Tamandua tetradactyla: one gene and its partner. The protein of the gene in region 1 purifies or fractionates together with the protein of each later gene. This does not show direct contact. Links are inferred from orthologs where the notes say so. Each region holds a gene or a part of one and is shown on either strand. Other genes may lie near its edges.

Region 1 (8,020 bases):
GGGATTTAACAAATGAATATGAATGCTGAATCATTAAATTGATATTTCTTTTAGTCTCCAGTATTTTATGACAGCTAGAAGTAAAAACCTAAAATTGTGGAACTGTAACCCATGTCAAAATCTGAAATATATTCTACAACTAATTGTGGTGCTGTGCTTTGAAATTTATAACTTTTTTGTATATGTTATTTTTCACAGGAAAAAAGGAAAAAAGTCGATTGTGATGATAAAAAAATATTTAAGCCTTCTATATTCTGGAGCAGCTAGAAGGAAAAATATGATCATACGGTAGCCCATGAAAAACTCTGGGATCTGTCCTGTAACCACTTGCTGAAGTGTGCTTTGAAAACTGTTGCTTTTTTATTTCTTTGTTTTGTACATATGTTATATTTACAATAAAAAAGTTAAAAGAAAAAAAAAGATTCAGTAGTGAGCCCTACTTATTCAGTCAGTAAAGAGGAAATTTTTCCACGTATGCCAATATTTTTGCAGTATAGATATTTATATCATCAAATCTGTGTAGATATAATCTAAATTTTATTAACTCTAATGTGTCAATGCAATTACCTTAATTTAGAATTTGGAATCTCTGCTTTATATATTAGGTAGGCTCTTTATTACTATCTCTTGAATTGAAAACACATTCCCATATAGGGTCAAGTAACCGTTGTGTAGTAAGGTACTTAAAAATGGAAAGGACACACAGCCTAGTTGTGCTGGTTTGAAAGGATATATGCCCCTTAAGAAAAGCCATGTTTTAATATAAATCCCATTTCATAAAGGTAGAATAATCTCTATTCAATACTGTATGTTTGAAACTGTAATGAGATCATCTCCCTGGTTGATGTGATTTAGTCAAGAATGGTTGTTAAACTGGATTAAGGGATGACATGTCTCCACCCATTTGAGTGGGTCTTGATTAGTTTCTGAAGTCCTATAAAAGAGGAAACATTTTGGAGAAACAGATTCAGAGAAATTCAGAGAGAGCAGAGAATGCTGCAGCACCACCAAGCAGAGTCCACCAGCCAGCGACCCTTCGAGATGAAGAAGGACAACACCTCCCGGGGAGGTTCATGAAACAGGAAGCCAGGAGACAAAGCTAGCAGATGATGCTGCATTCGCCATGTGCCCTTTCAGCCAAGAGAGAAGCCCTGACTGTGTTCGCCATGTGCTGTCTCACTTGAGAGAGAAACCCTGAACTTCACTGGCCTTCTTGAACCAAGGTATCTTTCCCTGGATGCCCTTGATTGGACATTTCTATAGACTTGTTTTAATTGGGACATTTTCTCGGCCTTAGAATTGTAAACTAGCAACTTATTAAATTCCCCTTTTTAAAAGCCATTGTTTCTGGTATATTGCATTCCAGCAGCTAGCAAACTAGAACACTAGTTTTACCACAATCTTTAGAATCTGGAAATTTGGGACAGATGTATTTCCATTCCATTTTAACAATATTCCTTCTATTATACTACCTTGAATTTTGCATGTGTGAATATACTAAGATAAGTTGCAATAAAAAAGACTTGATTGAGCAAAAACAAACAAAAAAATGGTTAGGACTCAGTGTGCTGGGGAATATAGCTGAAATTCCTGCCTCTCTCTTCTAAAAGAGTGGTTTTTAAATAATTTTTTTTTTTTTTACATGGGCAGGCACTGGGAATCAAACCCGGGTCCTCTGGCATGGCAGGCAAGCATTCTTGCCTGCTGAGCTACCGTGGCCCGCCCTCTAAATAATTTTAATTCTTTCGTTTCTTAAACTTCAATCAAACACTCTTTATATACCAGGCCATGAAGTTAAAAGTCACACAATCACTATATATTATACGAAGTGTATTTCTAATTATTTCCTGGATGACTGAAGCAAATAGTTCTTCGACAATATCTATGCTATCTTATTTCCCACAAGATGGTGGTTCTTTCAGCTTTGTGCCTTTGTTAAGTAGCATTATTTACATTTAGATCTTTAAGTACTTTTTGTGACTACTGACCAAGTGCCTACCAATTGCTTACTGTCTCAGACACTTACATGCTTTATGAATTCTGAGACAGTCAAATATGGGGATAACATGTACCACCTTAATCAAGTAATATAAAGTAACTTTGAAAGTGATAAACTGCAAATTACTAAAAAATAGTATAGGCCTTTACAGAGGCTGAGTAGCCATCTATTCTGTTTCATCTGTATCAGGCTCTTCAACTTTCTTAGGAGATGTCTGTTCCACCTTATGTCTGGCTGACAACCAACCACAAAAACATACTTGCTGACCCCAAGCCCAAGACTGTTTCAAATAATCCCATGGCCACCTGTGGGCTATGAGCCATTAGCGTTGGCATTCTTCCAACAAGGCCAGCGCTAAGGAGTTGGTTTTGTCTAACCCTACCCTGAACAGAAGAGATTAGAGACACTTCTGCATATAGGCTCTTATAAAAAGCAAAGGTAGAATCAGAATCCAAACCTGGTCTCAACCAACACCAAGAAGCATAATTCCACCCCTAAGAAATAAATGACAACTCTTAGTCCCACAGGCATTTCACACTATCATTGTACAATCCATCATTTAGTGGACTTTGGAAGCAGTGGTACAACTTACACTGTATTTTTACTGACAGTGGGTGACCTGGGAGGACAAAGATTTATGGATATAAGAAGTGCGGTAGAATGATTTCCGAGAATGGACAGAAGGATAGAAGGGCTCTCAGGCTCTTGGGGATAAGTCATTGGCCCCAAAACATAGGTGAGTTTTATCTGATAAGAAAGGGCAGTGAGGACTAGGGTCAGGCTTCAGTCAAATGAGCCTAAGTTTTGGATGAAAGAAGAGTGTGCAGGAGGCACTTAAGGAAGGAGTAAAGACCAGTTGCTCTAGACATGGGTGTCCACAAGAGAGATGTACATGCACTTTTACTAATTTGCAACCTGCCATTCTGTCACATATCTACATTAAGATATAACGTCAGACACAGGCCTATGTAACTCCTTTTATTTATCCTTAAAGATGCTATTAAGGCCAATGTACAATACATTAATGTCTTCTTTACATGAGGACCCTCAAGAAAGATTGTGCTTTCACTTCAGAAATGGGAGAACAGGTTTTTACCTTATGGACTCTAGGAATCATGTTAACTGATCAAGATCGGAAATGTTTCTGCTGTCCTCTAACAACAGCTGAGTTTTTTATAGCACCCTCTTATCCAGCACCCTATTGCTTTTCATAAACATCCATTAATTTAATCCTCACAACACTATGTATGTGTTAACCAATATAACATCCCCAATGCATTTTTTTTTTCAGATGCGGAAATCCAGGGATAATTATGATAAAGTCATTTGTCCAGTTTCAAAGATATGGTAAACGGAAGAGATAGCATTAGTAACCAGGCAGTCTGGCTCTCTGGTCCGAGCAATTTTCTTGTGCTTTACTGCCTCTCATAGTAAGTCCATAGTAAACATTTATATTAACCTCACTATTGGCTTTATATTTTTTCCCCTAATATTACTTATTCTTCAACCCAATTTATTCCAGTTAGGTCCTAAAACGATTCTTTATATCTGCTATTATTTTTGTAAGTCACTCCGAGTTCACGTTTGAAAGATATAATTATATTTAAATACTTAAAAAAATTCTTTCTAATTGGTCTCCATGGCTCTTTATATGCACTGTCCCAAAAATGCCGATTTAACCTATAAAGAAACAATGCTGGATGCACGAAGGATCAAACTCCTTGAGGTATACACATCCTAAAAACCATGCACAAATAAAATATTGTATTGTTTTGTCTTGTTTTTAAGCAAAAGAGTACATATCTTGCGGAACGGTCGGCGCAGGAGGGCTTGAGATTTAGAAGAATGAAGTTAGCTTCCAATCCTAACTAATGAGGACACGGAATGCTGAATCTTGGACGAATCTGAAATGCTCGCGGATAAGCAGCCCCATGCATCCCTTCCTGAGTCTCGGTTTCCTCCCAGTCCGGTGAGGGGCAGTCACCGGGTATCTCGAAAGACTTTTTGCAATTATGGCAGCCTCAGATACCTTTTCCTGACAGTTCCAGGAGGGAAAGGTGAACCCAGTAGTCCACCAGAAGAAAACGCTAGTTCCCTCTCCTCTTTCCCGGCTCCCACGCTCGAAGGCCTCTGGAAGTTCGGCCGCTTCAGCCCCGGGGCGATCTATCACCAGATCCATCACCGCCGAGGGCTTTTATAGAGATGAACCCCGTACCCCACCTCCACACCCGCCTGCACAACTTGACCCGGCGGGCCTCAGCGCCCTGAACCCCAGAACTCACCAGCCGCCGCGGAGCCAACCACGACCCCACGACCAAGGACAGCTGTGAGCTCAGCCACCGGCGCCGACGGAAGCTGCGGCCTCGGGACTCGTCAGGAAGAGAGGGGTGACGCCGGGAAGTCGTACGTCTTTCTTTTAATATGTGAATCTTCTCGTTCTTGTTTTAGCTCGAAAACGACATAAATGTTTTTAAAATAAAACGTCAGTCCAAGGTGAGGAGACTTGTGCGTGGAAATGCCATCTCCTTCCCTCAGCTTCGTGTTCCTTGTCCCCAGAAGATGGTATCACCCTGGGTCTTCTCCGCCTTGGCGGGTCGCCTGTAGTTTCAAAATGGCGGCCTCCACTGCGGGTCTTCTGCCTGCCGATCGTCGCGGGTACTGCTGAGTGAACGTCAATTTTCCTCGCTCTTGAACCGGGACTCGACGAGGGGTTGGGAAGGGCAGTGGACGGCGTTGGGGGAGGACTGATGAGGCAAGTGGGGGCGGAAGAAAAGAGTGAGCCCCTGGATGGGGGAGGGGGCTTCCTAGGAGTTCAGGAAGAGCCTGGCTCCAACACAGACACAGCCTCCTCTCCTGGGGACAAGCTCTGGGGTTTCGTTGTGCCGGTCTTGGTCGTTCCTGGCCGAAATGCTCAGCGAGGGAAAGAAAAACGTCTTCTTCATGGGTCTAAAATTCTTGGCTCTTTTGGCAATCTGTACGGTTCACTCCCATGCTCCTTTCCTCCTTGCTGTATTCCTCTCCCCTTTCATTCTGTTGGCACTGGAGGAGTTAATCTGACTCCAGCTTTAGTTCCTACGTCTCTTGGCTGCGTTTTTCTCCATGTCCCTTTTAGCCTCCTCGCCCGAAGTCGCCCGTCGACACCGGTTGAAAGACCGCGAATCTACTAAGCACTGGGCACAAAGTAGGCGTCTTTGTAGTTAATTGACTCCAAAGACCTTTAGGATGTTATCACGCTTTGTTAAAAAAGTCTTTCTCCTCCCCCCGCCCCCGCGTCCTGTCTCCCTAGCCCCCAAGCCCTTCCACCATCACTGCAGTTTCACCAGATCTCATTCTCTTTGACTTTATGCTATTTTATATGCTCTGCAGAAAACCGGAGGTCTGACTGGATGTAAACCTTGGCAGGTCTGGCCTGTGACCGGGCGAACCCGAGTTATCACTTGCCCGTACTCTATAATGCTTTTATTTTACAACCCCTTTGGCTCTGTTATGAAACCTCTGCTCCCCTGAAACTAGTCAGTAATAGACTTTGGCACCTAGTTAGTTCCAGTGCTTTCCCAGACTCCGTTTTTACCTAGATTTTGCCTAGTTTTCTTTACTTTGTCATCAACAAGCATGATCATTGCTGAGAGAGCCAGTAACTGTGACAAATATTTGAAATGAAGTAGTGTTGGTCAAAATCACTGCCCTGAAGGAATTTGAGCACTGTGTTTGGTCTTGAAATGGCATACAAAGATTAACTATAATACGTGCTTTTATATTGTCAATTTCTAGTCAACAGTTTTCTGTGTGTATGTGCCCACTTTGTGCGAGGCAAAAATAACTAGCTTTGGGGACACTGAAAAAAGTTTTAAAAGGAGTTAATATTTGAACTGGGTCATGAAAGGTCAAAAGAAATTTGCTAAGCTCAAGAGGCGGTCATGAAGAGGTGACAAATACACAGATGCAGACTTGAGAAGTTTTGGTGTACATAGGGAGAGTGAGAAAATAAATGTGCTTAAGCACACAGGGCAGGGATTGTAGGTGAAGCAAAGGATAGATTGAGATAAACTTGTGAAGGGGCTTGATTTCCCACTAAGGGGTTTACATTTCATTCAGTAGTCAACAGGAAAGCCATTGGTTATTTTGTGCAAAGTGGGGGCATGAGAATATTTGATTCTTAGGATGGTCTTTCTGACTGCTGTTATCGAGGATCAACTTGGAACATGAAAACTAGATGAGGAAATTAAAATCATTCAGGTAAGGTAATGAGTGTCTTGATTGAGGTAGGACAGTAAGGATGTAAAACATTTCTGAAATGTCAACAAGTATTCAACTAGTGATGACCAAATTGATGATAGGAGAGCAATTCCAGAATTTTAGTCTGGGAGACTAAATGGGTACTGATACTGTTAAAATCAAGTGTAAGCCGTGTGTTAAAATAGAATGGTGCCAACCTGCACTTAGGAGTGACAGCATAGAGCTCTAAAATCTAAAGCATTGATTTTAGAATCTAGAGTCTAGCTTAAATGATCTAGTCTCTGTTCTAGCTCTTCATACATTATATCAAAGCTTCCAACATTACTTTTACGTATGCATTACTTATCTGGTTTTTAGACCAAATATATAGGTGAGAAAAGGTTAATTAACTTGTCTTAAACCACAACAGAGTAAATTCAACTCTGTATCTCTGATTCCCAAGTCCACTTAATTTACACTAAACCACACCAGGAGCCAAAAAAGAACATATCAACAAAGGTATGTTTGCATTTTAAAGTTAGCAATGATGGCAATTGGACTTTAAAATGTTTGTTTTCTATGTTGATGGGATTTTTGTGCACTTAAAAACCTGATCTAATTTTTGTTCACTGTCTATTATATATATTCAGTTGCATTCTTATGCTTAATTTTAGTTTCTTTTTCTTTTAAAAGAACCTTTTAGATTGTTGCTAGTGGACAAAAAATGACATCTATTATCAAATTAACTACCCTCTCTGGGGTCCAAGAAGAATCAGCTCTTTGCTATCTTCTCCAAGTTGATGAATTTAGATTTTTACTGGACTGTGGTTGGGATGAACACTTTTCTATGGATATTATAGATTCCCTGAGGAAGTAAGTTACTTTTACTGTTCATATTTCTGGACTTTTAAATTAACTTCTCTTATCTATACTGCAGTACTAATTTGAAGTTACGATGTTTGCTTTTCTACTATGATTTATTTTATTTATAATAAAGGACTTAATTTTCTTATGTTGAAGTGAACATTTTAATTTCCAAAGTTTTGTGTGACTTACTAAGTGTGTTTATTGAAATTCAGCAGAATCTTAAGATAATTGTTATTTGGCTGATGGATCACTCAGTAAAAATTCTGCGTGCTAATTTTAGATAAGAGCAAGAGTTTGAGGAGAGGAAAAGCTTTCCATGTGAAAATTCTGCAGTCAGATCACATTTAACCTATTTTCTATATCTTTTGATGCTAGAATTGGTGGTCAGAATGCCTTGTGAGATGCAAAAGGATCCTAATTCATCAAATAAAATTTCATTTATGTTCCCATTATTATGTTAATTACAGAAGGAAAGAGGACTTAAACATTTTTAAAAGCTTAGAACTTGAAGCAAAATGCATTCTCTGTATAATTGAGATTTTATTATAATGAATATGTGGTCAGTTACTGTCCTAAAAAGCTAAGGCCAAAATCTGTAATAAATACTGGACAGATTAAACATCATCTCTTTAACAGTTCCTGAAATTCTAAGCTAAGTACTTGAACTAATGGTTATATGAAATAGCCATTCAAAATCAACTTATTTATTTTTCATTTTTTTAAAGTGTCTATGCACTTTAATGTTAGGTGCAAGTTATAGTTACCATGTTTGTATCTGAGGGCAATAATAATTGGATTTCAGGGGCATCAAAAGTTTAGTTCTTATTTTTCTCATTTACTTACCACAGTTTTAATCCAGACTATTAACAGGAATCAGAATTAGCAAATTAATTTTGAATATCTTCCCTTTACCCTTAAAAACAAGATTTGAGAAGATAA
Region 2 (7,879 bases), on another chromosome or scaffold:
AGGCTAAAGTCATGTTGTGGTTTGCAGTTGCTGGCAAGGAAGTGTAATCACAGAAGCAGAAAAATGCCATTAGCTGTTGCCAAAATACATCCCGTGCCCTCAGTTTCCTAACATTGGTCATTGTTTAATTCTTGGGGACATTCCATCCCAGATCTTTGAGGACTTTTCCTGCTCGGGCCTGAATGATTGCTCCTGGCCCTCCACAATCTCCTCTACCCAGAAGAAAGAACCTGAGTCTCTGTACCCTCAAAATTTTGAAGTCTTTGCTTGTTTCTTTATCCAAGATTATCAATACCAAGACTGAGTAAGAATTCAGGACTTTTCCTCAAAACTTTATTCCAATGCCACACAAATCTTGTCTATGGTTTCCCAAATCCTTTCATTCTCCACTAAGTACCCATTCTCTTCTGCTCAAAGCCCCCAAATAACATCCATTCTATATATTTAGTCCCATTTATGTAGAAATGTATCTTTCTTAGTTTCCCTGTACCTCTTTATACTGCACTTGTACTGTTGTACTGAGGCTCAGTCATAATACTTACAATCACATCCAGTGTACTACCTTCAGTTTTCATTTTTCTATAACCTGGAGGCAAAAGAAATGCTGTCACTCAGGGAGCATCTTGATGAAGGGAGAAAACTCTCATAGACAGGCACTGAGGTCATGAGCACAAGGCCTGTAAGTGAACGAAAAATTAAAAAAGCAAAAGCCTGCAATATATCCTTTGCACACACCACCTCTTCTATAACTAAAAGAATGGGGTTGGTTACTGAAGAGAAAGAACCAATAGTCCATTCTTCACAGATGGCTGATAATAGCAGAACAAACCCTGCTCAAGTGTCTTGACCTTTCCTTGGATGGGTCTTTATTGTGAGCCACCAACCCACCATCACCAGGTCATATGCTCTAATCTCTTTCCCCAAAACAGTAATATGTTAAACTATCCATATTGTCATGCTGGGAGGCAATAGATACAGCAGTTAAACATTCAGTCTCTGGAGCCAGAGCAACTTGAGTTCAAATCATGCCTTAGCTACTTATTGTGGGACCTATTGCAAGTTGCTTAATCTTCTATAATTATAAATAGTCTATCAATAAAATGCTGTGATAGGCAGAATTCCAAGATGGTCCCCCAGAATTCCTGGCTCGCTGGTGTAAATGCTCTATAAAATTACTATGACTGCAAATACGAAGATTTTACTTTCCTGGTTAGGTTATGTTACATAGCACAGCTGACCTCAATACAGGGAGATTATCAAGGTGAGCCTGATCCTATCAAAAGCCCTTTCAAAGCAGAGTTTTCTCTGACTGGCCATAGAAGTCAGATTCAAAGTACTAAAAGGATTTGACAGCCATTGCTAGCTCTGAAATGCAGACGCTCACATACAAAGACCAAAAACAGGCTCTAGGAGCTAGCTGAGGCAGCATGGAAACAAGGACCTCAGTCCTACAACTACAAAGATTTGAATTCTGTGAACAACAAAGAGCTTGGAAGCTGATTCTTCCTGAGAGTTCAAATAAGAGCCCTACATCTTTTTTTGTTTTGTTTTGTTTTGTTGTTGCTGTGGTTTTATTAATAAAACCAATCAACATACAATATGAACATTCTGTTTTTCATCACATAGTTGTATATTCATCATTATGATCATTTCTCAGAACATTTGCATCACTTCAGAAAAAGAAATAAAAAGAAAACAAAGAAATTCATACATATCTTACCCCTTACCCCTTCCTTTCATTGATCACTAGCATTTCAATCTAAATATATTTTAACATTTGTTCCCCCTATTATTCATCTTTATTCCGTATGTTTTACTCATCTGTTGATAAGGTAGATAAAAGAAGCATCAGACACAAGGTTTTCACAATCACACAGTCACATTGCAAAAGCTATATCACTGTACAATCATCTTCAAGAAACATGGCTATTGGAACACAGCTCTACATTTTCAGGCAGTTTTCTCCAGCCTCTCTGTTACACCTTAACTAAAAAGGTGATATCTATTTAATGCATAAGAATAACCTCCAGGATAATATCTCGACTCTGTTTGTAATCTCTCAGCTGTTGATGCTTTATTTTGTCTCATTTCACTCTTCTCCCTTTTGGTCAAGAAGATTTTCTCAATCCCTTGATGCTGAGTTCCAGCTCATTCTAGGATTTCCGTCCCACGTTACCAGGAAGGTTTACACCCCTGGGAGTCATGTTCCACCTAGAGAGGAGGGGGGCAGTGAGCTTGCTTGTGGTGTTGGCTGAAAGAGGCCACAACTGAGCAACAAAAGAGGTTCTCTTGGGGGTGACTCTTAGGTTTAATTTTAAGTAGGCTTAGCCTATCCTTTGCGTGGTTAAGTTTCATATGAACAAACCCCAGGATTGGGGAGAGCCTTACATTTTGACTTCAACCTTCTGAGACCCTAAACAGCGAACCCAGTCAAGCCTAAACGGACTTCTAACATACAAAACTATGAGCTAACAAATGAGCGTTATTTTAAGCAGCTAAATTTGTGGTACTTTGTAACACAACAATAGAAAACCAATACAATAGAGACATAGCAAATGCTCAATAAATGTTCATTTTTTTACTACGGATTCATTGGGATCAGTCACAGAGCCGTGAGAAGACTAAAATGTAAGTTATCTATGCAAGACTGGCAATCCAGAGGCCATTTAGTCTCATATTGCTGATACTAACAAGGGTACTAAAATTGCACTGTTTCTCAAGCGGAGAAACGTTATTAGCATTTAGTGGAGAGAGGGATTCACTGTATAGAACTGCTCTGGATATTGCAATATATTTATGACCTCTGGCTGCTTTCTCCCTCCAAAAAAGCGTCCCCCCACTAACGGCAATAACTAAAAACATTCCCATACATTTCCAAATACCCTCCCCAACAAGGGATGGTTCTGGGTCTACTACTGCAGAAAATTTTATAACAAAGCACAACTGTCATAAATGTTGCCATAAAAGTAGTACCTCAATATACAATGTTGCACAAATTGTCTGACCCTAAGAATCACCCGGGGTACTTGTTTTAAAATAAGGTTCCTCCCTGTAATCTTATTCCACAGGTTTGGGGTGGAGCCCTAGGAATCTCTATTCTTAGTAAAGCACCCCAGGTAAATCTTTTTCATGGATGTTTGGGAAACACTAGATTAGAAATATATTCTGCCATAAATGCATTTTTCAAAACTTTAGCACACTAGGAAAATTGACTCACTCCAAGGCTCTTTAAATCTGTCTTTTACAGAGCTGTAAACCTAGTTTTGGATTATTCTATTACAAAGGTGTTCTCTTGGTCACACAAAATTGAAAATGGGACCCAAAGTTATGGAAGTGGGAGAACTCTTCCAAAACTTTCTAAATTTATCAGAATCGCTACTTGAAACGACGCGGTAAATGGTGTGAAGGCGCACTTTTCCAACTATTTCTCTTCCTTCAAGCAAGGACCTACACACATACACAAACACTCCTAATATATGTTATTAATTTTAAAAGCATATGTCTCAAATTCTGTAGATATTTTACCAGCTCTCCCTTCCTTTTCTGAGACAGAAAATTCATCAAAGCAATCTTGACTCCTTCCTTTTTTTCTCTCCTAACTCCATTCTCTTCAGTTACCCTCCTGTGGATTTCCTCCGACCCAGACAGGTTTTGTCTTCCTGTGGGGTGGCAACGACTAGTCCTGCAAGCCATATTTCAGGAGTTTTCGGGAACCAGAGATCAGCCAGTGATGTTTTCCGTTCTGTTTCCAAAACTCTACTGCCAAAGTCCTTCGCCTGCCCCCACCCCCCATCAAGCACGTGGAGCTACGAGAGCGCAGACTGTTCTCACTTCACCTTCCCATCTCCTGATCTATCCTGGTGCCCTGACGGTGAATGCCCTTGATTCTCATTTTCTTGCCGGACAAAACTATCTCTCCTCACCTCACTGCAGATACAGCTTCAGCAAAATCACAGTGTGCCTGCCGCTGAGGCGGGAGCAAACATTTCCTTCTCTCAATCAGGCGGAACTAAAATGAAATTTCCCTGGTATTGGCAAAGGACTTCCCTGACACCGTGGTAAAGCCGCTGACGCCATTTTTATTGCGGGCAAAGATTACTTGCGTCAGCGAAGGAGAAAATTAATAATAACAGGAACTTCTACGAACTAAAAGCCTTCAAATTAGCCTGGATCCGGCTCAGAAGGGAGTTATTACTAGGCGACAGTCTTCGCGGAGGGAGTTTTGCTCTTGTAGGCTTAACACGCTCCTACGGCGACGAAACGTCGCACAGGGAAGGGATCTTGCCTGCATCCGGCCTAGGCGCTTCCGGTTCTTGCGCCGTACGGAAGCATAGTCAACTCTGAGTTCACGCGCCGTACGGAAGTGTGCTGCAGCGCACCGGAAGCCGCCGGAAGAGAGCCATGGCGGGTTTGACTGTACGAGATCCTGCGGTGGACCGTTCGCTACGTTCTGTGTTTGGTGAGGGAATTCATTGGAGCCAGGCATCGGGGAGGTGCAGAAAGTGGCAGAGGGCGGCGAGGAACACCCCCAGCACCTCATGAATCGCCGCAAGAGCCGGTGATGGGTCGGTCATAGAGCTCCACCTGTCCCTGTGGGACGGCAAACCTGGTGGACTCGTGGGCAGAGATGCTCCTCTTTCCCCGAGGTCCCGCAACCTTTCTGCGATGTTGTTAGATGAGCGTTGAGCTTCTGTGCGTTTCTCCTTTAATGAACTTAAATTATTTATCTAGAAGCGAGGATGCATAGCGACAGTCTCATTGTCCAATACTACTTCTCATCCCCTATCCCAGAATACACATTACATGCTGAGTGGTATCCCTATGTCCACTTCCCGCCTTCTCATAAGGGCTTTCATCCTCCGCTTCTAACGATAACATTTTAGTTCATCGATGGTGGTAGCGGCCACCTGGCGTCTTGAGGCGGACTATAAATGAATGAATGAACGAGTAAGAGCTCAAAGAGGATCGAATGTATTCTGAGAAATTTTTTCGGCCGAAATAAGTCTTTCTTCAAAGTTATGAGTGGTGATTTTAAAGCACCTTTTGAAAGAGTGGCGAAACAGTTCAGAATAATGTTTAAACATTTTTGGTCATTCTCCCGTGTGTTTATGAATGTGGAAATACGAACAGTTGAGCCTGTTTGAAAAAATATAATATTGATATTTTTAGTAGCTATTGGGTGGGGGATCAGATTGCAGACCTTCAGGTAAACACTTATGCTAAGTATTTTCACCAAAGTTAAGGAAATTTTAAAACTTGTCAGATCAGTTAGAACTAATACTTAGGAGTACCTACACCTTTTGTATTTAGTGTCCTTAGCGATTTTTTTTACCTTGTCAAGAGTACGTGGTACTGGAATTTGGGGAACACTGTATTCATTGAAGTAGATTCTTTATAGTGTTTACTTTCTCACTAACTATCATGGTTACAAAGATAGAATTTTAATCTTTCTTTCTTAGTGGGAAACATTCCTTATGAAGCCACTGAAGAGCAGTTAAAGGACATCTTTTCTGAGGTTGGACCTGTTGTTAGTTTCAGGTGAGGGCCCCTTTTATTTCTTGGTGGGAAGGTTCTTAAAAATTGCCACAAATTTCACCCTTAGAAAAAATGGCAAGTTGTTTTACTGGTGACTTTTCATGTGTATTTTTTCTGTTAACAGCTTTATTGATATAATTAATATACCATGTAATTTGATGCATGCTTTCCTAAAAGATATGTGTATTTTTTAATTTAAAAAGAAAGTTAAAAAAGATTTCAGTGAAGCAAAGTCAGAATTATTAAATTTTATCCTTTAGTGAGCCAAATTAGAACATGAAAATGTTAGCAAGAACCCTGTATGTGTACATAACATGTGTGTTCAATACTTGGTTCTGCTCTCTAGGTTGGTATATGATAGGGAAACAGGAAAACCAAAGGGTTATGGCTTCTGTGAATACCAAGACCAGGAGACAGCCCTTAGTGCGATGCGGAACCTGAATGGACGTGAGTTCAGTGGAAGAGCACTTCGAGTGGACAATGCTGCTAGTGAGAAGAACAAGGAAGAGCTAAAGAGTGAGTATAAACCCAAGTTGTATGCAGGATGAGTTTATAAGATATTACAATGAAGATTTTTCTGTTTATGGTATATTCTAGAATATGCTGAAATGGTTAGCCACACAGTTTCTTTACTTGATCAATCTGAGATACCTAAATTAGGGATGTGTGTATCTTTGAGAAACAAGCTAAAGTTGACTTTGGAAGTCCTTCAGTTGCCAAGGAGTTGATTTCCAGTTGAAGATGAATTTAATTCAGGCACACTAAGCCATCAGTAGTGCTAACCATGTTGTTAGTGCTTGCTACTCCTTATTACCATGTTGCCAAATCTGTAATTGATGGGGTACTAAGGCATTTTTATGGCTTTTTTCATGAAGTGATAGATGCAGAAATTCCATTTTGAAATGAGCATCTTTTTCTGTTTAAACCTTTTGCCTCTGAAATGTTCTGTCAAAAGAAGTTGATATGCCTAGGTTCCTAACCTAGGTTAACATTGTCTGTCTTTGTGATCCTGTTCTCAGCTTTCCTCTGAGAGCAGAAAATACACTTTGTCACTTTCTCCATAGAAATAAGAGACTTGCAAATTAACTATTTCTCAGCTCTAGAGAATGTTAAAGTTATTGAATAGTCCTTACAGCAGCCCTGGAATGTAGATATTTGAAATGATTTAGCCCTTTATTTTGTCTCTTTAACTTTCTCCTTGTACTTTCTTCCTCATCAGGCCTTGGCACTGGTGCTCCTGTCATTGAGTCACCTTATGGAGAGACCATCAGTCCTGAAGATGCTCCTGAGTCCATTAGCAAAGCAGTTGCCAGTCTTCCACCAGAACAGATGTTTGAGCTGATGAAACAAATGAAGGTGGGAGGAGGCAATAGGTTATGAATAAATCAGATCCTCTCAGATTTTTAAGGAGTAATTAATAAACTTAGTGGAAATGATTCCCACATCTTAAAAGAATATAACTTATGAGAAGAGCTTAATTGAACACCGTAAGTACATGGAACCTTGAGTAGGGCATGACATTTTGTAGGTTTGTCCAGAGTGATGCCCCGATAAAGCCCAGAGTGATTTGAACAGTGAATAAAGAAGTATTTGCCAAGTCCCCTTGGGGGAATGGTGAGAAAGGGGGAAAATTCAACTTCCCCAAGTGGAGAATTCTTAATATTCTCACAAGCAGTGAGGACAACCAAAGCAATAGGCTGAGCCCCCAATCTTGGGGTTTGTTCGTATGAAATTTAACCCCGCAAAGGATAGGCTAAGCCTACTTAAAATTAGGCCTAAGAGTCACCCCCAAGAGAACCTCTTCCGTTGCTCAGATGTGGCCTCTCTCTCTCAGCCAACACGACAAGCAAGCTTACTGCCCTCCCTCTCTCTACATGGGACATGACTCCCAGGGGTGTAAACCTTCCTGGCAAAATGGGACAGAAATCCTAGAATGAGCTGGGACTCAGCATCAGGGGATTGAGAAAACCTCCTAGACCAAAAGGGGGAAGAGAGAAATGAGACAAAATAAAGTGTCAATGGCTGAGAGATTCCAAGCATAGTCAAGAGGTTATCCTAGAGGTTATTCTTATGCATTAAATGGATATCACCTGTTTAGTTAAGGTGTAACATAGAGGCTGGAGGGAACTGCCTGAAAATGTAGAGCTGTGCTCTGGTGGCCATGTTTCTTGAAGATAATTGTATGATGATATGGCTGTTGCAGTGTGACTGTGTGGTTGTGAGAGCCTTGTGTCTGATGCTCCTTTTGTCTTCCTTTTGGACAGATCAGTGAAACATGGATTAAAAATGAATAAATAATAGGGGGAACAAATGTTAAAATAAATTTAGTAGATTGAAATACTAG

Evidence for each region.
Region 2: the proteins of CPSF2 (region 1) and CSTF2 purify together in Homo sapiens (affinity purification with western blotting; 3 studies listed by BioGRID and IntAct, with this or other methods). This does not show direct contact. The link is inferred for Tamandua tetradactyla from reciprocal best matches to the Homo sapiens genes CPSF2 and CSTF2.

Annotation. Positions count from the first base shown.
Region 1 is NC_135338.1:52,975,445-52,983,464, forward strand, and holds the start of CPSF2 (cleavage and polyadenylation specificity factor subunit 2), read left to right. Parts: upstream 1-4,576; 5' UTR 4,577-4,751; intron 4,752-5,348; exon of another isoform or gene 5,349-6,605; intron 6,606-6,617; exon of another isoform or gene 6,618-6,733; intron 6,734-6,907; 5' UTR 6,908-6,938; coding exon 6,939-7,087; intron 7,088-8,020. UniProt on the Homo sapiens protein: Component of the cleavage and polyadenylation specificity factor (CPSF) complex that play a key role in pre-mRNA 3'-end formation, recognizing the AAUAAA signal sequence and interacting with poly(A) polymerase and other factors to bring about cleavage and poly(A) addition.
Region 2 is NC_135353.1:72,974,467-72,982,345, reverse strand, and holds the start of CSTF2 (cleavage stimulation factor subunit 2), read left to right. Parts: upstream 1-4,331; 5' UTR 4,332-4,401; coding exon 4,402-4,459; intron 4,460-5,459; coding exon 5,460-5,538; intron 5,539-5,881; coding exon 5,882-6,051; intron 6,052-6,754; coding exon 6,755-6,891; intron 6,892-7,879. UniProt on the Homo sapiens protein: One of the multiple factors required for polyadenylation and 3'-end cleavage of mammalian pre-mRNAs. This subunit is directly involved in the binding to pre-mRNAs.